2 linked regions of the Coturnix japonica genome follow. Each later gene encodes a partner of the first gene's protein in a complex. Links are inferred from orthologs where the notes say so. Each region holds a gene or a part of one and is shown on either strand. Other genes may lie near its edges. The genes, in order: FRS2 and NTRK2.

Evidence for each region.
Region 2: the proteins of FRS2 (region 1) and NTRK2 are in contact, whole or in part, in an NMR structure (PDB 2MFQ), measured with the Homo sapiens proteins. The link is inferred for Coturnix japonica from reciprocal best matches to the Homo sapiens genes FRS2 and NTRK2. Residues at the interface, in NP_001036020.1 of Homo sapiens: Val26, Asp27, Asp28, Asp29, Gly30, Tyr59, Leu60, Cys61, Leu62, Arg63, Arg64, Tyr65, Gly66, Tyr67, Asp68, Ser69, Asn70, Leu71, Phe72, Ser73, Gly77, Arg78, Ile86, Ala88, Lys90, Phe98, Gln102, Met105, Gln106, Ser109; in NP_001018074.1 of Homo sapiens: Pro498, Asp499, Val501, Ile503, Gly504, Met505, Thr506, Lys507, Ile508, Pro509, Val510, Ile511, Glu512, Asn513, Pro514, Gln515, Tyr516, Gly518, Ile519.

The regions. Positions count from the first base shown.
Region 1 is NC_029516.1:32,154,231-32,166,278, forward strand, and holds the start of FRS2 (fibroblast growth factor receptor substrate 2), read left to right. Parts: upstream 1-5,742; 5' UTR 5,743-5,888; intron 5,889-12,048. UniProt on the Homo sapiens protein: Adapter protein that links activated FGR and NGF receptors to downstream signaling pathways.
Region 2 is NC_029547.1:36,494,566-36,505,878, forward strand, and holds part of NTRK2 (BDNF/NT-3 growth factors receptor), read left to right. Parts: intron 1-2,153; coding exon 2,154-2,290; intron 2,291-5,376; coding exon 5,377-5,509; intron 5,510-7,000; coding exon 7,001-7,300; intron 7,301-11,313. UniProt on the Homo sapiens protein: Receptor tyrosine kinase involved in the development and the maturation of the central and the peripheral nervous systems through regulation of neuron survival, proliferation, migration, differentiation, and synapse formation and plasticity.

The sequences.
Region 1 (12,048 bases):
TCCACTTGGTCTTCTTCAATCTGAAAAGTTCCAGTGCTGGTAATCTTGTATTAAACAGAAACCATTGCCTATGCTGTATTCATAAACCAAGTTTATGCTGTTTTCTAGCTGTAGCCATACAGCTGATCCCCGCAGAGATATCACAACACTTTCCGCTCCATTCAGTCATCCCTTCAAAATAATTCCTGATATTTTTTTCTTTACTTGGGGCTGGCAATGAAGTTTCCAAAGAACCATCTACAGAGACACCTAAGAACTCCTTCCTCTGCAATAGTATCACTTGTAGAACTACACACTCATAATTAAGACTGGCTTTGCTCGTACGCATCTCTTTGCATTTACTGAGACTGAATTTCAGCCTCTAGTTTCACACCCAAGCTCAGCAGGATGGGATCCTTCCAAAGCTCCTCTCTGTCAACTTTATGTTCCTCTACTATAAGGCATTCTGCATCAGCAGCAAACTGTGCTGCTTCCTTACTCGCTCTCCTTCCAAGACCATTTTGAACATGCCAACCAGTGCAGGTCCCAGCACGAATCCTTGTGGGAGTCTGATCGTACCTTTCCCGCAGTGTAAAAAATGACTATTTACTGCTTCCCGTTAACTCTTCTCCTTCAGCTGGTTACCAATCCACAAGGCAGCCCTCCCTCTGAACCCACGACTGCTAGTTTTCTTTAGCAGCATTGGCGTGGAACTGTGCCAAAAGCTCTTTTGAAGTCACTTTATCACCCTGGTTTATCAGTTTGTTCATTTTGTCAAAGGGCTTCATAATGACAAAGCTTTTTCTGTCTACAAAAAACCATGTTGATTTTTCCACGGTCTGACGTGTCTGGCTATATGCCAGAGCCTCACCCCAGCTCCCTGTCACTGATCTGCTGCTTTGACCTGAGACAAAACTACATCACTAAGAAGGTCTCCAATACTGAAAGTGAACATTAATGATCCTTAAACACTCACCCAGCTGCTTTCCAGCCATGAGGTGCTTACATTCCACGAATTCTCATTTCAGTGACTGCTTCAGTATGTACTTCCCAGCAACCCAATCCTGCTCCTAAGGGTCTGGCATAGTCACAACCGGATAATGTCATTGGGTAGGTTTAAGGAAGCAGTAATAACTGTATAGTTGTTATAGCAGGTGAAGGAAAATATGAGCTGATATTTTCACAGCTAGAGGATGAAACCAAACCCCGGTAGCCTAAGTTTTGTGTTTTCTAATTATCAAACCATAGGAAAAGGAAGGTTTCTCCTACCCCTCAAATCCATGTCTCGTATAAAGGAGTACCCATAAACACCTAATGTGCTGAAGTGAACTCCACCCTATGCAATGCAGCTCTTTGCTACTCAGTTTTACTTTTGAGGGTATCAAGAAAGACACTGTAAACGTTGCAGCTGTACTTACCAGTCCATTCTGCATTGAAACACCTCCCTTACAGTGAAGTTGGTAAAATGGACCATTTGTCAGCATCTTCACCGTGAGTTTGCAGTGTGGTCCTAACCCAGAGTTCACAGACTCCCAAATTAGCAGCTAAGGCAAACGTGCACTGTCCCTCTGCCAGTTTTCCAGGAGCAGCCACCGTACCTGCTCACGGGATGCAACAGAGCACTATATTCCAAGATTCCTTGGCACTGAATCCAAGTGCTGTGCCTGAAGTCACACAAACGTCATCAGTCTCTTGCAGGGAGAAGCTGAGCCAGCTTCTTGTTTGGATCCCATGTGATCCCATTCCTCCAGCTGCCTTCACCACATTCCATGTGGGAAACATGGACTGAGACCCACCAACTCCACTAAGAAGGACAATCTTTTAATGATCAGTGCCACAACACTGAGCTACGCAGCACCAAGGCCCCCCCACACCTCGCCCATGCTCCCCTGTAAGTAACATGCAGCGATAACTCTTCCACTGGAAGACAGAATGCAGAAATAATCCCACTAATGCTAATGACATATCAACTAATACAATGACAAATGCCCTAAGAATACCAAAGTAGTTACTCACTGAACGAATAAATAAATAAGGCAAAGGGCACATGCTGCATGCAGAGATTTAAAATAACCAGCTGCCTTTTCCTGTGAGAGGCATCCATTCCATGTCCTGATTGAGGAAAGGTTTCCAAACTGCAAAAACTGAGCGTTATTACATGTGGTTAATTCCCTCTGCTTCGTGCTCACAAAGGAGCCCATTTGCAGTTGCACAAGTTGCCTCATTTTTAAAAGTCTGACATTGTGTTGATGCTCTTCAAATGCTGTTTTGTACAAACTTCATAGTTAAATGTGCACATCTCTGAGGCCCTGAAACTCTGCAGCACCATGGGGGGATTGAAGGGCATAGCAGCAGTCTTCACACGGAATTTCCTTGCTTTCATCTGACAAAATCTGTTCTCAAATGTTATTGCGACATAGTGTAGCTTTTTTTTTTTGGCTTGAATTAGATTTACATCCCAGTTGGTTATCGTGGACTAGTTGGAAACAGCCGTGCACACATTCTGCAGTCAGCACATTGGTGCTGCTCCTTGGGAAGCAGCCAGCAAGAAGTTACAGGAGCTGCATGTGGCAGCCTTTGTTGGGGGGAAATGAAAACAGTTCAATTCAGTTAAGCAGAACGTTCACTTGTGAAGCAAGCTGAATTTGTAGAACTTGGGAGGCCCAAGAGGCAGCTTCACTCACAGTAATAATGTCTTTGAGACTTCCAGTGTTCAAATGGGCAAGGGACTAAGTATCCAGCATCTGAAGGAGGAAAACACATAAAATCTCAGCCATCAAGCTTAGCCTAAAATAAGGTCAGAGAAAATACCTGAGATGAAAATTATGCTTTTGCTACTCACTGGGATTGTTTGCTCTGGAGGAAGAAGGCTCAAAGGAGAGCAGATCATTCTCCACTATGACCTGAAAGGAGGTTGTGCCAAGGTGGGGGGCGGCCTCTTCTTCCATGTAACAGCAGTAGGATGAGAGGGAATGGTCTCCTGTTGTGCCAGCGGAGGTTCAAGTTTGGTATTCTCCAAAAGAGCATTGAACCAGGCTGCCCAGGGAGGTGGTGAGTCAGCATCCATGGAGGTGTTCAAGAAAAGAGTGAACGTGGCACTGAGGATCATGGTTTAGTCAGCATGGTGGTGCTGGGATTTCATGAGCTTAGTGGTCTTTTCCAACTGTAATGATTCTATGATTCTGTGAAATTGTATAGATCAATACACACAGCAAGTGTCATCTCCATCACAGCACATTACTTAGAGCTCATGTATCCTCTAACCATATCAGAGGTACATAGAGGTACAAGTGTACAAGATGAAGCCAATCTGAGGAAAAACCCACTGCAATACCAACAATGATCTGTGTAATTCCTACCCCACTCTTCCCCAGATGTGACAGGAATAAGTACAGAAGATCTGTCAGATTCCAGCAGTCACTTCAGGAGGGGTTTCATTGTGTGAATTAAACTGTACAGAAGCAATGTCTTTCTTTCTTTCTTTCTTTCTTTCTTTCTTTCTTTCTTTCTTTCTTTCTTTCTTTCTTTCTTTCTTTCTTTCTTTCTTTCTTTCTTTCTTATCCTTCTTTCCTTCCTTCCTTCCTTCCTTCCTTCCTTCCTTCCTTCCTTCCTTCCTTCCTTCCTTCCTTCCTTTTTCCTTTTCTTCTTCCTTCCTTCCTTCCTTCCTTCCTTCCTTCCTTCCTTCCTTCCCCTTCCTTCCTCTTCCTTTCTTCCTTCCTTTTCCTTCCTTCCTTACCCCTTCCTTCTCCTTCCTTCCTTCCTTCCTCCTTCACTTCCTTCCTTTCTTTCCTCTCTCTTTCTTTTTCCTTTCTTTCTCTTTCTTTTCTTCTTTCTTTCTTTCTCTTTCTTTCTTTCTTTCTTTCTTTCTTTCTTTCTTTCTTTTCTTTCTTTTTTCTTTCTTTTTTTCTTTCTTTCTTTCTTTTTTCTTTCTTTCTTTTTCTTTCTTTCTTTCTTTCTTTCTTTCTTTCTTTCTTCCCTCTCCTTCCCTTCCCTCCCTTCCCTTCCCTCCCTTCCTCCCTTCCTTTCTTCCCTTCGCTCCTTCTCTTCCCTTCCCTGCCTCCCTTCCCTTCTTCCCTTCCCTTCCTTCCTTCCTTTCCTTCCCTTCCCTTCCTTCCTTCCCCCCTCCCCTTCCCTTCCCTTCCCTTCCCTTCCCTTCCCTTTCTTTCTCTCTCTCTCTCTCTCTCTCTTTCATTTTTAACTGAAATGTTGACAATGTAACTAATGATGAAATTATTAATGAAGCAGTGAGCCACTGGTTTAAATTATTGGCTCAGTTTCATTCTTCTGAAAAAAAAAAATAGTATGAACTCCCTGGGGATAGGATTTTTTCTGAAGAAGAGCAGATCGGGCCATAAGAGGCTGCTACATGGCCATTACTGTATGCAAGGGCTTTGTTTGACTGTGAAAACAACAACTTCTTGATTTGACATACAAAGGGTCATTCTACTTAGCATGCCACACATGAGGAGAGGCAGAATGTGACCAGTGTTGCTCTGTTCAGCTAACACAATAAGTCCCGCTCTCTCTCTTTATAAATCTGTTTTCCAGCTCCTGAAATGTTTGCTATAGAGTTTTTTGTTTTTTTGGTTTTTAATAAGTTTTTGTTAGTGTCAAATGGACTTTGGAACTGATAGAATAAAACTCCACTCCTAGGTAGCATCTTACAACAGAGAAAGAGAGCGAGATGCTGTACCACACTTCAGCCAGGAACATGCTTTTGCTGCTGAGTCACAAACCCTGAAAGGAACCATTATATAACAGCCCTCACCTACAGCTGAGTTAGGTGGTGCCTGTTATGTTTCAGTGTGTAGCTGAAACATTTAGGATGGAAACTGGTATCCATCTCCAAGGCTTTGATCAGTATTGATGCTGAAGTGTACACAACTCTTGCTGATCAGAAAGGGCTGCCCACTAGAGGAGACGTGAAATGGGATGGAATCCAAAGGACACTCCAGAAATGCAATCTGGCATTCCATCCCCTCAGAGTTCCTTCTTTGTCAGACCCAGGAGTTAAGAATATGAGTAAGGCAAAACTTTATTAATGAGATAAATCTACTGATAACAGTTCACATACGGTTGGGCTGCTCTCTTGATTACAGAACTGAATAGTCTTTAATTTTTAAAGTAGCTTACAGGCAAGGGCAATAATCTAAGGCCAAATTCCATGATAAATCTTACAGTGTACAGAAGTTGTCTCTGCTTTCAAAGCTGATTAAAAGGAAGTTCCGAGTGATGTAGAACAGAACTGAAAATGCCATCAAAGAACTTGGAGGTGTTCAAGACCAGGTTGGACGGGGCCCTGGGCAACCTGATCTAGTAAAGGTGTATGTTTGGTGGCCCTGCCAGGCAGGGGGTTGGAACTACATGATCCTTGAGGTTCCTTCCAACCCGGGTCATTCTGTGATTCTGTGACTTAAAGCAACGTTGGTTCATAATTTGTAGACAGTTGCAAGCAGTCTTCAAAAGAATGGCATCTATAGCGCATCTCAATGGACGAGCAGTCATCTCAGTCTGGGATGATGAAAAATGACTGTAGATAGGACCAGCAACCAATAGAAGATGGAGAACTGAACTGTCAAAGAGACAACGGACATTCACGTTCAACCGCTGACTACGAAGCCGCCTCGCCCCGTGTCCGCCGCGCCCGTCGGCCTGTGAGCCGGCACCGTCTGAGGGACCCACACGGAGCGGTGAGGAGCCCGAGCGGGGCTCGGCGGGGCCGTGCCGCCCCGGAAGGCGTTCCCGCCGTGCTCCGGAAGCTGTGCGGCTGAGTCCGGCCCAGAGCGAGGCCCTGTCGCCGCCGCTGTCGGGAGGCGCCGCCGTTCCCCGCCGCGGACGCGGGGCCGCCTCTCGCCCGTGGTAGGCGGCCCGGCCCCGGGCTCGGCGGCCGGCGCGGGCTCATGGCGGAGGTGGGTGCGGGCGCCGCTCCCGTCCCCGTCCCGGCCTCGCCTCGCGGGGCGCCCGGCCGGCTCCCCTCGCCCCTGCCCCGCGGCCGGGGCCGCGCTCCTTCCCCGCCGGAGTGTGCGGGGCCGGCGGGGCGACGCGGGCGGGCGGGACTGCGGCCGGGAACCGCGGGCGGGAGGGGACGGACGGAGGGAGCGGGGTCGGAACAAAAGCGGAGGCGGCCGGGCCGGGCTGGCGGTGGGGGCTGCCGGGGGCAGGAGCGGAATGCGGGAGCGGCCGTGCCCGCCCGGCCTGCACGGTGCCACGGGTCGGACATGGCCAGCTGTCAAGCTGGGCCGCTGCTCCCGGCTCTCTGCGATGTGGATGTGGGGGATCACGGAGGTCGGAAGGGGTTTGGGCACCGCTCTGCATCGGTTCTCTGCCCGAGCCGTGGTGAGACAGAGACGCTTTCTTGGCTTCATGGTCTCCGTGTCCTGCTCAGCATCAAAGCACGAGGGGTGGTGATGGTGAGAAGAGGTTAGGATGATGTTGGGCAGTTGGTAAGAGATGACACCGTGCTGTCTCTTAGCTTTTTATTTTACTTATAGTGCTAGTGACAAAGTGACATTTAGCATAATGAGAAAGCACAGCCGTATTGTATCTTGCTTTAACAGTGTTAGTGATAAATCATTCTGTATGATGACTCTCATTCAGTCCATACTGCTGGCTCTGCAGTACTTTTGTATTTAAAAGAACAAAAACCTAATTTCCCTAAGATTCATCTCTGCTTTAGAAGCGGGTCGATATGAAGAAACATTCAGATCCAGTAAATCCAGATTCAGATCTGTTTGTTTGTCTGGATCAGCAGAACTGCCAGCGAGGCTCCCTGGCTGTTTCCCTCAGTTTACAAGTGTGTCTGAGCAGCACAGCCATCCTGCGGGCGGTGTTGGAGCCTGCTTCAAGACAAATGTGCATTGATATCAGTGTGAGTCACCAGTTCAGGTCCAAAAATATTCCCTGCATCACAAATGGAAAGTGATTAAGAACGTTATTTCTTGACTGAGAAGCCCTGGGTTTATTTGCCTACGTATCAAGAATGCTTTGAAAATGCTTGTTGAAACAATGTCCCAGTGGTTGTATTTATATTTGGTTAAGCAGCTTTTTGCTCACTTTCCAGTTCAGTGTCTTGTCTCGAATGCTGGTGGTTGGCTGTAGTCAAAATTAATTGTTCACGATTCCCTTTTCAATCTACCAATGCAGTAATAAATGTAATTGCTTGTAGGTTTGCAAGGTTATTTCTCGCAGTCAGTGTGCACTACTACTTATAATAATTTACTTCTCGAAGATCACCTTGAAAGCAGCGATGTCCATGCTTAGTAGGGGATCTGATCCTGCAGTCAGCACTATTCACTTCTATGAGCCCTGAGTCTCACAGTTTGAGCAGTACAGTTCTTTGAGTGGCGTCTGAAATTCATTCCTCAGCAGAGCGGTTTACAAGGCTGCTGACGTTTGAACTCCAAAAGAAATGTATTAGAATCATCACGCTGAGCTGCTGTGGCAAATTGAAATGTAAAATAGGGCGGTACACAGGTGCACTTTGCAGCATCAGCTGTGGATTAAGACTGGATGTTCTGCTTTCAGCCTGCCCCTGGTTACCCCTTGTGCTGGGAGTGCCAGCTTGTGGAGCTGGGCTGGTGACGGCAAGTGGCTTGTTCTGTAGGGTGCCCAGAGGAGCTGGGGATTCTCCATCCTTGAGGTGTTTGAAGCCAAGTTGGATGGGGCCCTGGGCAGCTGGATCTAGTGGATGGCAACCCTACCCACGTCAGGAGGTTGGATATGGATCGGTCCCTTCCAGCCCAAACCATTCTATGATTCGTTCTGTGTCTTTTGGTTGATGATGCTCTGGGCTGGATCCTTGTGAGGTAGGGACGGGGTGTTTTGTGAAAGTGGTGGTGGGACTCACGTGCTTGAGGGGAAGAGCAGGGCTGCCTGGGCCTTGACCTGTAGCCAGCACTGTGGGACTTCAGCTGGGACTCAACTACTTCGTGTGAATGTGTTGCTGTCATGGACCATCTCCACCACAGGAGGATACAGTTGGTCCTCTTTGCTCTCAAGCTCCTAGGCACAGGCCGGTGCCTGTGCAGCACTGGGTCGAGGTGCACCCAATGGGGTGTGAGGGGAACAGGTTGCTTCTGGCAATGGGGATGAGTTGTGCCAGCCTGGAGTGTGCTTGATCCTGGCTGACTTTGGTGAAGCTGAGCTTGGGTTGAGCACGGAGGGTCTGGATGCATCGTTTGGTTGTGGTTTGTCAGCATGCTTAAAATCTGAGATCCTTTAATCTGTGGCAGTGCGACTATGATTTCAGTGTGCATTTTGAAGGGATTTTAAGTGAGGAGTCTTATAACTGCTGTTCATCTGTCGGATTTTTGAGACAATGAATTTGTTGTGTGTGTGCATTGAGCTTTTAAACATAAAGACTGAGAAAAGAAGATAGTTACCAGTATGTGCAAAGAAACCTGCGTGATGTTCTGCAATAATAAGTAAATTGAATGACGGTAACAACAAAGGATGAAAATGCTGAGGCTGACCTGAGACTTAATGCTGTTGGCTTCAGACAGTTGAAAACTGCTGTCCAGAGGTGTAATTCCATGCAGCATAGGCAGGTGTTTTATCAGTTGAGCAGAAGTGGTACAGGAGCAGGTATAACATAACAGACTTTGCCTCGTCCACTCTTAAGCATCGCTTTCTTTTTTCTTTCTGTTGTTGTTGTTGCCCTTTCTGTGTAATCAGAGCTATATGTAAACTTTCATTTCAGACCTGAACAGATTATAAACTGGTGTGTAGTTGTTCCTCATGTAAGTGTGTAAGCATCCGTTTGTGTGGGTGCGCATGTCAAGCATTCTCCATTAAAGCACTCTCTTCAGATTCCTCTTCACTGTCTCAGTCTGGGTGGCAGCAATCACAGCAGCTGATTGAGTTGGCTCTTTGTTAAAGCCCATTTTCCTGGAGCCATGTGATTCTCTAGAATTTCAGTCTTTCCCTCAGGCTTGAAATCGCTTTAATAAGAGAACTAATAGCTTTTCTTCTGATGTTTATACAACACAATGTCATGATTATTGCATGTTTGAGAATGACTGTATGTATTCTTTCCTAATTAGCGGAAGTGTTGTTGTGATTACTATTTCCTTCCCTTGTTTCTGAATCCTTTAGTTTCATGTCCTATTTGTTCTTCTGAAACGCTTTCGCATCCATCTGGAGTGCACTGAAGTTCTTGCCATGTGAGCTGTTCTTACTGTGCTGCTCACACTCAGGTGGCCCAGGATAATCCCCAAACTTTTCACCTGGATCTCAGTTGACAAGTCACAGAATCACAGAATTGTAGGGGTTGGAAGGGACCTCTAGAGATCATCGAGTCCAACCCCCCTGCCAAAGCAGGTTCCCTACACCACGTCACACAGGTAGGCGTCCAGGCGGGTCTTGAATATCTCCAGAGAAGGAGACTCCACCACCTCCCTGGGCAGCCTGTTCCAGTGCTCCGTCACCCTCACCATAAAGAAGTTCTGTGTTACATAATGTGTTCCTCTTGGTTACTGCAAGCAGAACGTGGTTGCACATGCTGTTGCCACCATGGCTGCCTTTGCTTTAACTTGTAGAATCTACCACAGTTAGCAGAGCTGCCACCTCCTCTTGCAGAACCTCATTTCCTTCCTTTTGCTGTAAAGCTTCTCATCCAGTGCTGGCTGTTGGTAGGAATACCTCTGCATTGGTAGGTTATTGAACTGAGATTTCACCAAAGGTCTCAGAAGTATGTTCTTACATCAAAGCCACTCTTGGGTATTTCTTGCTTTACTGCTTTTTTGTTGTACACCTTTTCCATTCAGGCAGTTCTGATTCAGAAATCTTATACATGAGATGCTTGTGAGGATTACTGGGCAATTGGCATATCTGGAAAAGTGAGAGGAGTTCTGCTCTGTGCTCTGAATATGGAAGAGACTGGGTCTCCGTTAGCACTTCGAGTCAGAGGATCAGACTTCTTTCCCTTGGCTTCTCTTCCTAATGATTTTGGTCCTGGCAGCGTTGAGATGCTGCTGTTGTCATCACTATGGTGGTGACGGTTGCTGTAAACCACTGACCCGTTACTGTGTGCTGACTCAGTGGTGAAAAGTTGCTTTAATTTCCTGCCTTCACAAGGAGAAAATAGACCCTCTGTGCAGCGTGCTGGTACCTGAATTCCCGTATTTCTGGTGGAAGGTGCAAAACGTCATCAAACAGGTCCACTGAATTCCTGCAACCACAAAGTGGCTCTTACCTGCCAGGATTTTCCTCCGCACATCAGACAGTTGTCTTGCAGGCAGATTTTCTTTGGACTGAGATATTACCTTGTGCATTAACGTGACATTTGCATGACGTACAGATGGGGACATCGCAGCGTTACTGTAAGGCAGTCAGTAAAAACGATCGTGGTAACGCTGTGTTTGTTATCTAAACATTGGAAAGATCACCAATATGAGATGGAAAATATAAAATTCTTATAGGCTTTTGTCGTATTTCTGAGACAGAACGTGTTGGTTTCATAATTCGTCAGATATTTGGCAGGCAGAGAGTTGACTTGTTTTGCTGTTCCTTAGCATATGATGCCATCTTTTCCCCAAGCGGAGATGTTGAAGCAGCAGCTTTACATGGGGAACTCCCACTGTCTTCTGCAGAAAAAACAAACTCTGGTTTACATAGAAGCTTTGAGTGAAAAGTGAATGATCTAGAGCAAACTGTATTCCATTGTGATAGCAGCGTCTCTTCTGCTGAGCTTTTCTGAGGTGACAACAGCAGCTTTTTACATAGTTGTGCAGCACAAACAGAGCTGACTGTGCAGCAGTTATCCTTCAGACGTTGACATTTTTCAGTCTATTTATGAGCATCAACAAACGCTGTGTGCATACTTTTGCCATGCATTGAATGCTTCTATTTTCCTTTAATTTAGCTTAAAACTAGTAATGGAATTCCTGAGGTTTTGAAAGGAATAGCTCTTGGCAAGCACAGGGCTTTGAAACCAAAGGCAAGTTAAGATACCAAGCAAACACGGGGAGGGCTGCTTCTCCAGGGACGTTTGTTACGAGTATTCTGACGTCTTGGAGACTGCAAGTTGGATTTGGTTTTTGCACACACACCCTGTCTCTTTGTTTTTGTATATTTGTTATTGTTGTTTTGTTTAATTATTAAGATACTGAAACTCACGTTAATCCTTGCTGTCACCCAGGAGGTTTAGCCTTTTCAACTAGCCATTAGAAGCAGGGGGTATAATGCTCCTCTTAGGTTTTGCCTTGTATCTGACTGTATTTTTTTCCTAAATTCAAGCACTGTTTAAAGCGTGTAATTAGATGAATAATTTCATTTAAAATAAAATAAACCTTTCCTTTTAAGTGACTGCAGTAATTGTACCAGGAATAGTTATCACACATCTCTCAGGTGGGATGGTAACAGACCAAGCTCGTATTTACATTTCCCAAGTGCAGTTATGCTTTTAGCATAAGAGCTAAGAGCCGCTGTAGTTTGGTGGGAGTAGGAGAAGACAGGACATGTGGAAGGTTGCTGGGGTGCCGAGGCCTTGTCCCTCCTTGGGAACAAGGGGCCTGCAGTGCTGCTTGCTGTGGGCATCTTCTGTCCTCCTGTGATCCTGGCATGTGCAGAATTTATGGGAAGGTTGCATCTTATCTCCTTGATTTAGCTTACCACATTTCTTTGTGGAGCTTCGTGGCTCTGTATGCCTTCATTCAGCCCTGCGTTTCCTTGCAGTGCTTCTTATTATCATAAACATTTTGAATGCCTCGGAGTTCATTATCATCCCTCTCTAACTTAACTCATTTGCTCTCTGCAGTGCTGCTGACAGCACTGTAATCCTCTGTCGCCCAGGGCAGTAGTTAGGGAGTTGCCCTCTTTTTTTCCCCTTCTCCTTCAATCCGCAGTCAGATTTAATTCCTATCCTTCTTCCTTATCCAAACAGCATCTCCCAAGATTACATCTTCTTTTTTGGCCTTAACAAACCTGTATCTGTATCTCCTCCCTCCTCTCTTGAAACTCACATCTCTGCCATCGGTGTAAGGTGCAGCTGGGAAGATGTTTCAATAGTCTGCCTGTCTGCTGGTTTCCTTCATCAAGTCTGTGTTAGTTGTCTTTGAGTCTGAACAGTCT
Region 2 (11,313 bases), on another chromosome or scaffold:
TTTGTTGGTTCAGGTTTTGTGGCTTGGTCCCACAGAGTCAGTACCAGAGGAATTCATTTTCCGTTGTTTGCCTTATAAATAAACATACAGTAGGAAGAGATTGTTTCAGAATTTAACAGCTATTGAAGGAGAGTTTTAAGGGACCAAAGTTTCTTTTTGCTTATATGAGAGGTTTCATGTAAAATCATGTGCTGGTAGTAACCATTAAGGTTTGCACTGTGAAACATCAATTTATTATGTATACTTTGTCCCCGGTAATGGCTGAAGAAGGGAGCCTGACAGGCTTTGTACTTTCAGGTCTGGCAAAAGCGATTGGAATGTTTTTCAAAGTAGTGTGGAAGGATAACATTATGTGGTAGATGATCTCATTACTTCACTCCTTGTTCCTCAACCAGTGTAATTAATATCCAAATGTTCCTTAAGATTAGTTTTATTTCCTGCAGTACTAGTTGACAGACACTGCTGAAATTTGAATTCACAGCAGGCGAGAGCAGATGGCTACCTTCGCTAACAGATCACTGCATCAAAACATACAATTTGTCCAGCTTTGTCTCAGTAAACTTCAACATATGATTTGTAAAGTGATCATAACAGAAGAAATTCATGTTGCATGTAATGAGAATCATATTACTGCTTAAAGAAGTAGAAGTGTCTAAGAAGTTATTGCACACTTGTGCTGATCTTAATAGGCAAGAAAACTGCTTGGAAAACAATTAGTCTTCTCTATGCTATTGGTTCCTCTCATTTCATTTTTAATGAACTAATTAAACCTGAGATTTCCAGTACATGTAAGTTCTATTGAAGTTTAAGTAAACATATTAAAATGTCACACTAATAAGACTGTTAATTTTTTGTTTGGGACTTTTTACATACATAAAGCAGCTCCTCTTTAAACTTTTATACCTGCAAGTCTGTGATAAAAGTACAGTTTTCTAATTTACAAGAGAGGTGAGGAAAATAAAATAAAACAAAGAGGACTGTTGTTTTAGGAATAGTAGTTGCAAGATCATGCATACACACTGAGCATAGAAGACAAGTTAGGTTATTTGAGATCATAAACTCTGGTTAAAACTTGCCTGGAATGGCTGATAGATGATGCCTCATAAATGAGGGCAAGGCTTTGGACAGTGCATAGCTCCATGGAAAGGCATAGAATGAGCTACGGAAGATCTGATGTTTCTAGCATGAGGAATGATTATTTGCCTTGTAAAGAAATATGTGACAATTGAGTTCCTGTGTGCTAGAAGACACTCCTGTGTTCTAGAATGCCAGATACTGCTGGCATTATTTTTGAAGGTGGTTGATCTATTATTCCTTGTGTGTTTCGATATGCTCATCACGTATTACATATATTATTCTTCTGAAAGTTCCCATTGCTTTGGGCGCTAAAGATGGAGGTGTGAAGTGGTCTATAGTTATGAGATGGAGGGGAAGTCCTAGATCTTACAAAGTCTAGGCTGTTTCCCTGGTACCATCATACTGCTTTTTTGCTTTCCTGAGGGCACCAGCTGTCTGCTGGAGTGCCTCATACAGCAGCTCTGTACAATAGCCAACCCACACTTCTGACCTTTCTCTCTAGTTTCATCTGTTCAGTGCTTTGTTTCCCTCACTTCATACTTGGGCTTTGTTGTGCTTTCTGTGAACTTTGCATGAGAGGGAAGGCTGCAATCTCTTGTGTGAAACTTTGGGCTGGTGGGATTTTACTCTTGGTGCTGTGGAGAGTAGTGAGAGCACCACAGTGCCAGTTAGATCCTGGAAAACAAAAACAAAGATTCCTTTGGAACTGTAACAGAGAGTTAGATTAAATTTCTGGTTTTAGCAAATGAGTGGGAGAATGGTTATTTTTAAGTTAAAAACTGAAGGTAAATTCTATTTACCCACCTGAATCATTTTCTCTTAAAATTAGCTGAAAGGTATGTTTCCTTAAAATGCAAAGTGGAGGCAGTGCAGAAAAATGTTATGTAGCAATTTAAAGATTGTTATTTGTTTCCAGAGATGCTATTTGGACTCCCTGACTGAACTGTGGGCAACTAGCCACAGTGAATATCTAGTTTAGTGACGTGTGCACTTGCAGAGTTTTTATAGAAATGAACAGCATCTATTTCTGTCAGACGCAAATGCATGTGTGTATTTTTTTGTTGTTTCTGTCGTAGACTTACCCTCAGCAAACTTAAGCAATTACAACATCACTGTGGTGGAAGGAAAGAGCATCACGCTGTATTGTGATACAACAGGAGGGCCACCCCCTAACGTGTCCTGGGTGCTCACTAATCTTGTTTCAAACCATGAGGTAAGTTTCATATAAAAAGAGGTGACTGTTCAGAGAGAAGAGATATCTGTTTGTAAATGGAATGAAGGTTCATGTCCAGCTTCAATTAATTTCTTATCAAAAAGATGAAGATTAATGTTGGGATAACATTTATTTTCCAGTAACTTTTCACCCAGGCCAACTGCTGCACTGATTCTGGAAAATGTCAAACATTTGCTCCTTGAGATTTGTAAATGAGAGTACTGTGATTTCTTGGAGGTTATACAGTGAATAAGGATACTGAAACAAAAGTGCTTTCTCAGCACCTACACAGAGAAAATAAATCTGACATATCCTAATCATGAAAAAGGCTTTGTCTTGCTAACTGTATTGCATTCTCAAGCCAAAACCCTGGTGACCAGATTACCTGTTGATTTGACAGTTTTGATTGTCAGTATTATTTTGTGTTTTGTTTCATTTTTCTTCAACAAAACAAAACAACAATGATGTCTTGGAAGTCAAGGTGACTAAAAGTTAATTGAAAGGCTACTAACAAAATGGCATTTTCTTATGAAGTGTGAAGACAGTCCCTCAACAAAGTCATTCAGGCAGCGAGAATTTTGTTTTCTATGATCTTTATGTTCTGTGTCCTTGTCTTGGACTGTGTGTGCAGTGGAGACTGACAATTTGTTCTGATGGAGAAACTGATGAGGAGCAGTGTCTTCTACATACAGTTGCTGACCCCTTAAATTGCAATAATTTTCACGGATAAGGCCTTCTGTTATTTACACTTCTCTGCCATTGGTATCCTGGTGTCCACAAGTATGCAGATGGTCTGAATATTTCCAGTATGTGCAAAGTGTGAGGTGTATACTTCTAAAACTGTTTCTGTAGTGTAGAAGTGCCAGAACCTCTAGGAACTTTTAATCTTTGCACTTTCTGCTTTGATATCATTATATTTGGTCTGCATAGGGTTTGACCAGTGTGTCTTTCAGCTTTCATGAGTAAGAATTCTGCAGAGTTCTAGTTTTATTTTTAAATTTTCCTCTAATCTGTTAAACTACCCAAAGGCACCAGTTGTCATAAAGGACAACAAATTAGAACCGTTTGGGGAACCTATGCCAAGCTGTACTTTTTCTTTGTTTTTCTTTGTCTGTTTTTCTTTGTCTGTTTCTCTTTTTCTTTTTCTTTTTCTTTTTCTTTTTCTTTTTCTTTTTCTTTTTCTTTTTCTTTTTCTTTTTCTTTTTCTTTTTCTTTCTCTTTCTCTATTTCTTTTTCTTTTTCTTTCTCTTTCTCTTTCTCTATTTCTTTTTCTTTTTCTTTCTCTTTCTCTCTTTTTTTTTTTTTTTTTTTTTTTTTTTAAAATTATGAGCCAAAACAAATGTGGGATGCTGTTCAAGAAGTGAGATCACTTCATTTTTTATCCTCCTATCTTTGAAATGCCGAGTTCAGTTTGCTTCAAGGTTTCCAGAAATACTCTGTCCTGGCATAACTTTGTGTGTGAGATTTCAGAGGGGCTCATGGCATAGCCTAGCTGCAACTTTAGCTGTGGAGCACAGTAGTCTTTTCAGTAGCGGAAGAATGAGTGCCTTTTAAACCTCATTTCTCATTTGAACCTATCCTTCCCTTTTCTGTGAGTGTTGTTTTTGTTTCATTCCTCTCACTTTTGTATTTGTGTTTCTGCCTCCCTTTTCTTCACCTCCTATGCTGTTTTTGCCTGCTTTTTCTCTCTTTTGTGTCTTACAGAGAGGAATGTTAACAAAAGCTAAAATTGTACCTTATTCTTGCAGAGTTAAACCACATTCTCAGCTTCTATGCTGATTTTTTGCTATAGATTTCAGCCATCAATCTGTGTTTGGAGCCCCTTCTCTGAATCTTCCTTTTAGTGCTGCTCATCTCTGAGAGCTGCATGTGGAGAAATGTACAGTGAGCTGTTGGCTTTTCCACTCTGCCTCCCACACTGTCACACTGATATCAGTGGAGCATTTAACTCATATGGGGTTAAGGTGTCACTTCAGGGTTCAAAGTTCTAGTTCTGTATGCAGAACAATTCATGTGCATCCCCACTGACTGCTGCTGAAAGTCACTGCTTTTACAGGTGCATTATCTGTTTGTGCAGCACTGACGTGTATGTGTACACTGAGAAAAGTACCTCAAAAGGAGTTTTTTTAAAAAAAGAATACAAGTTATTTCTTATTCTCTAAATGTGTTTTGATTCTATTCATTTTTAAGGAAGTAGCTTTGCATTTCATGAAATATTCAAGTGTGGAAATAGTAATTATTTGGAGATCATGTGAATGACCTTTTTTAAGAAAACCTTGTCTTTGACAACTAGTTTTGCTAGCTACTATTTTTTTATAGTGCAGTCCTGTTCACTTTGTGAAATGCAGCATAGCTGCATATTTAATACAGCATTCAGGCTATAAACATGCTGTAAACTTTCTAAGAATCACAATAATCAAGATTTTTAAGAATTATAATTCTTACTTTAATTAGCCTTAGTATGTAAACACATAAAACAGTACTTGGGCAGTAGTTTAAGTGTTAGAAAGTATGTCATTTCTCATGAATTGTTTTATGAGAGGAAGAAGATTTTAAGAGAAGTTTGGCGAGGGAAGGGATGAGGGAAGACACACTGTGGTTTAGCAGAGCTCAGAACACAGCAGTAGAAGAAATGTCACACAAGTGCGAGGAGACCAAAGAAAGAGTAAAGCAAGGATAGAGAAGGAAGGAGGAAGAAAAAGTTCAAGCGAAGGAACATACCATAGATATCAGTCATGAAGTGGAAGAGAGGGATGAACAAGGCTATGAGTGAAGAAGAAAACATTTGTCTAGAGGGGAAGAAGAGTTCAGAAAAGGCAGGAACTGTCAGGGACAGGACAGAGAAGTGGGTGAGTGCAGAGTTTACTGCATGACTGCACTTTTCAAACTTCAGCCCCTGATAGTTTCAATTGGTTCCGTGTTTTATGTTAGCTGGATAGGATGCCAAAGTAGCATTTTACAGATTGATAGAACTAAGGAGAAAAGAAAGCAAAAAATGCTGTTGAGCTGTGGCCAGCGATTCCCTGCCTTTCTCTTGTTTCTTTAGACTGCAGTTGATACATGCATGTTTTTCTGATCATTTGTAGAGTGACACAAGTAAGAATCCTGCCTCGTTAACCATAAAGAATGTTTCATCCATGGACAGCGGACTGTGGATTTCGTGTGTGGCGGAGAACATTGTGGGAGAGGTCCAAACCTCTGCCGAACTGACGGTATTCTGTACGTACCCAGGCCCTCATGCAGCAGGCCAAACCCCATCAGCAACAGCTCTTTTGGGTATAGATGTCTTTGGGGTGCACAGGTTGCTAAAACAGGAGCACCATTTAAGCATGTGAACAACCTACTGCCATTAGTACTGGGAACAGCCCAGCCAGAAGTTGCTGAGTTTGTCTTCTGCAAAAATACATTTCCAAATGCTTTATCTTCAGAGAGGTTAATCTGTAAACAGTGGTTTAAAAACCACTGCCAGTGTGGGAAGTTTTGTAGTGGTGTGCATATACATATACACTATCTTAGGAATTAAGAAGTGTGAATGCATAGAATTAACCATAAGAGACTGCAAATGTTAAAGTTTGTATAATCTAGAGCAACAACTGCTTTGTTCAGAAAATAATGCATTTGAAATGTTTGTACTGCCAGATGTAAATTTATTTGTCATGGCTTGAATAATGTACTTTTTGTCAGGGCCAAAGACGGGGTAAGGAGAATGTGATATGGAGAAACTGGCTGCTTTAATCAAAAATCCCAGCCTGATTTCATTTTGTGCAAACTAGACATCATTTTTTTTTCACAAGTTGCAACCCTCTGTTTAATTGAAGATGGGAACAGAACTCTCTGTAGATGGCAAACATTGCTCAGTATGTGTTCATGACAGAGAAAATTAGAAAAAAAATCACTATAGATGTACTTCAAATGTCTTGTAAGTTGAAATTGGATATGTAATAGCTATGGGAAGAAACATAAACTAGAAATGTTTCAACAGTGTAAATGAGATTCTAAGCTTGGCACTGTTATGAGTGATAAAAAAGAATGTAACCAGATGAAATTGGATGCAGTTAAGAATAAATATCAAGGAAAATTTCCCAATAGTGAAATAAAAAGCAAGGTGCTGTAATAGTCTCCTGAGGGAGACAGAACAAGTTTGTAAAGTTGAGACATTTAGCAGGTTTGAATAAAGAATGAGAAAATGTGTAGTAGAAAATGGTCATTCCCTGACAGAATAATCCAGGGAATGAAGTCATCTGTACTGGCTTTGATTCTGTGAGGGAAATCATCTGAAAGTTTGGATTCCTGGCAGAGGATATTTCCAGTACTGCTTGCTTTGGGCCAACTTTTACATATTTCCAATGCTGTTCTGTTCAGTCAGCCCTGTTCTGTACCATTTTCTTCTGCAGAGTAAAGCTAAAATTGCTCTTTTCTCCTTCTCCATAAACTGAATTTCCCACACCTGGCAGGTATGGGATCTAACTGGTGTTCAGTCTTCAGATAAAATAGTTAGTTTTTCTTTTTTGAAAAATGGCTTTGTTTCAGTTGTAATCATAGTAACCTACACAGAGCTGATGAGTGTCCTGTTTGAATGTGATGTGAATAGGTATCATTCCTGCAAGTTACTTCCTGTGATACTTGTGAATGAAAAATATGACTTAAGGGAATGGGGAAAAGACAAGTTCCAGATATTCTGATGTTGTTGACTCTTTTTTTCCAATATAGTTGCACCAAATATTACATTTATTGAATCTCCAACCCCGGACCACCACTGGTGCATTCCATTCACTGTGAAAGGGAATCCTAAGCCCACATTGCAGTGGTTCTATGAAGGAGCTATATTGAATGAGTCTGAATACATCTGTACTAAAATACATGTTATCAATCAAAGTGAATATCACGGCTGCCTTCAGCTGGACAACCCTACCCACCTGAATAATGGTGCTTATACCTTATTGGCCAAGAATGAATATGGAGAGGATGAAAAACGGGTTGACGCACATTTCATGTCAGTGCCTGGAGATGGTGAGTATGATTCTTTTAATGTTAGCCATTGTAAACTGATAAGAATGTGCTTCTAGCAAGTTTTTGGTGTTTTGTTTTTTTTTTGGTGTTTTGGTTTTTTTTGTTTTGTTTTTTTCCTGTGGATAAATGTCTTCAAAATCCATTGTGAAGTAATGTTTTTCTTTAACTGTGGAGACTGTGGAGACTGCTACTGCTCTCTAAAGTCTTCCTTTGGGTTACCTCTTCATTGCCAGCTGAGGCTTGAGAAACGTGGCTGCTTCTCAAGTGTTTTTTGAAGCCTCTGTTCTGATCCTGGAAAGCATGGAGTGCCAGTTCTGGCACTCCACAAGTGTTTTACACCGTGTTTGAATTCAGCTATGCAGTGTATTAAAGGACACAGGGTGCCCATATAGTGTCTAGTGTAATTACGGCAAAATCACTGTTGCAGTCCTCTGAGTTGATAATAACTGATTATTTAGGACACCAGAGGGAGCTGGAGAGAAAACAATCCTGAGGTGGGATGGTGGAAGTCTCAAGTCGTCACAGGCATTTAGGTGTCAAATTCTCATTCGTTTCAGCCGAGGTTGGAAACCTGTGTGGCTATGAATATCTGTGCTCAAAATGGTTAATGTTAATTATGTGCATCTTCTGCTCCAGAAGCTCTGCCTCAACCCTCCTGAGCTGTATATAATTGGGCTCAAGGTAGACTAACTCAATGAACTGTAGGGACTGCTGGCAGTGATTGGTGTTCTTTGTGGTGTGATATTTCCCCACATCTTCAAAACTGTATGTGAAGTGCCTGTAAGAGAATGAAGACATACGTGCAAATTCATTATTCTATCTATAAGAACCTCTGAGTGGACTATGCACAGCAGGAGTGAAATACAGGCATGTTTTAGTGCAAATAATTGCACAGTCATATATGAAAATATGAGCATATGTGTACCCTTGACTTTTTAATCACAGAATATGAAAAGCCTTCTTTTCTGAAACAGCTATGTGCAGTGCCAGTGTTATCTGACAGAAGAAGATGTGAATTCTCTCTCCAGCAGGGCAGGCAGGCTAGAGACAGTAAAAATATGGTCTGTACTTAGTGTTTGCACCTAACGGCTCAATCTGCTACAGGGCAAAATGTAGCAGGTCCTCTTCTTTTCCCTTTAGAAAGAGAAGGTGAAGAGCAAATATAGCCAGGTCCTCTTTACTCCTTCTGTCTTTAGACCTATCTTTCTTCTCTGCAGATCTTCCTTAAATAGACTAATTACAAGAACATGCCATGATTCCAGCTACTGGCATCCTCTGATACTGTGCTGTAACAGCTCAGTAACTCAGTTCACCTTCTCCATGTTCTCTGTGCAATGGAAGCTCTGTCACGCTCTATTTATTATGAACCTGGCTTCATTTTCTTAACAGAATAACAGTTCCTCTAATACACTTGTAATAATTTATCATTTTTTGACTTTGATCCATATCCCTCTTACTGTTCTGTTTTGCTTTTGTGCTTCTCTCCTTTACAGTGAAGATTTCCCAGCCTTTAAAATCAATAAACAGAGCAGGAGGCATCTTCCCAATTAGAAAGATAGTATTATTGTTTACTCCATTGTTTTTACACTCCTAGGGAATTTAGGTCTCCAAGATAATCTGTGCTGTGGTTTTCAGCATTTCCAAGCTCTGTGATGGATTAAGCTTCACAAAAACAGTATGAGAAGACTAAACTACTTACCGACAGGACATACCTGCATTAGAAATCAGATCATGCATGGTTGATTTCTCCAAACCAGTCTTAAAAATTAACAGCGAAATTGCTTATCTAGTTAGCTTTCTCAATATTGGTCTTGTTAGAGGACATTTTTTCTGTGATAATGACATTGAGCTTTCTAATATTTCACTACATTGTTGTCTCACCTACTGAAGCTGTCATAAAAACAAAGGCTAAAATAAGAAAATCCTCCATGCATAGTATTGTTATTATTATTTACTATTACTATTCAAAGCTCTGTCGGGATTTTTCAAAACCCTTAAAATACTTTTTCAGTGCTGTCGTTACTGTGTAGTTTCTTCTTTTGGCCCACATATTGTACAATGAAGTATGAAAATTAAGGCCCACTCCCTGGTATTATGTTCAATTCCATGCCTTCATGACTGAATTAAATACCAACCCTGATGTTTCATGGGGTGGGGCTCCCTCACTGAGCTTTGAACTGATTCTCTGGTTATTAACATTACTTACAGGCAAATGCACTGTGGTAAAAAAATAAAAATATTTTAAAAAACCCTCACTGATAATCTACCTAAAATAAACCTAACTAAGTCTAAAGCTTATTGCTAGCATCAACAGTGCACATAAAAGAGAGGGGAGGAAATACCACTGTGAAGCTTGATTGTGTTAATGGCATTACAGTTAATGCTGTAAATTAAAATTTTGCTTTAGACACTGAAGTCTGGAAGGAGAAATTTCAAGCTTTGCTTGCTAGATTCTTAACTAATTTTAATCTGCTAAAATTCTTGAACTCCAGAGTAGCTGTTTTTGCTGAGGATAACTTGCTTATTTGAGAACACATTATGGCAAATGGTAGGCAGGAAACACTCATGTTTTATTCTGAGAGCTGTTGCCAAAGTTGATCCAAAACATCTTCTGAGTGCTGGAGAGAATTTTACCAAGAATAATTGTTTTTAAGAAACCTTATTCATCTACCAACCCTATACAGTAAAATTCAGCTAGAGGAATTCAAGTCACGTATTACCTTGTCAAAGTAAAAGAATATGTTAAATATGCCTTAGAAGTAGCATCTTGCTTATGTGGCATAATAACATGGGTCTGTTTTGCAAAAGTATGTTTTTGGATTGAGTCTTTTGCTGCTGCTTTATTTTGAAAATGTCAGTTTCATAAAGAAAGAAACACAAAAGCAAAGTGCAGTTGATGTACTTCATGAATGCAAGTGAATAACATAGATCACTAATAGTTTATTTGCAACAGCCTGTTCTAACAGGGATCAAAACAACTATGTTGTTCTCTGTTTGCCTTAAAAATAATGAATTGCATGTAAATGTGCAAAATTACTGTGGTGAAGTTTAATGTTAAAACCGATGTTCTGATGATTGAGAAGACGTGTTTTTACATAGGAAATACTAAAGAGAAACTTGGGATTGGTCCAGCATCTTGATTTTTGCAACTTTATTTGAAGTATTTAGTTATATAAAAGGTATTGAATGGAGTCAATGACTTCCTAGCTTGAATGTTCCTGGCAGGAATTAAGGGTTAAACTAGTCTGACAGCTTCAGCCCCATTCCTGTAAATAGTAACAAAAATGTTGCTATGTAACTCAGGAAATAAAGGCCTTGGAGTTTTGTCACTGTTGTTATTTTTCCTTCAGATTACCAAAATAAATTAGGAATACCATCTTTTATCAGATGTTTTACAGTGGAAAAATTGAATCCATTAACTATGGAAGGAAAACCTTGGTCAGAAGGTGCTTGAGCACAGACAGGCTGTTTTCACTTGACACTTGTTTCTGCTTATTTTCACAGCAGTTCTTATGGGGTCTATTAGGCTATGTATCTGGAGACTAACAGAGCTGATCTGAAAGTAATGCCTCCTATTTTATTTTGCTGTCCCATGATGTCAGAGGCAGATGTTAGTGGTATGGCAGTAGGGGTTGAACCTTCCTAACAATATTTCCTAACACTTTGTTGCTGTCTGATGGATGGCAGCAGAGGTGCAGTCACATTCACTGGTGCTTGTTGAATGTTTACGGAGAGCAAGTGGATGTGAACACAGTGAGCACAGTGAGGTGATGGGTGTTGTGGTTCAGCAACAGCAACAGTGGATCACCTCCACTGGTGTAGACTTTGATGAGTGTGGCATGCAGACTAATGAATAGCTAATGTTAGTGACTATGTTGAAGGATAATATTTTGTAGCTCTATCAAACAGTGTTACTGTGGTCTTTGTATGTTGTAGTTTCCATGGAAATAAATAGGTGGTATTACTTTCAGAGTGATCAATGTAGAATATTTTCAAATGCATTTAAAGGGAAA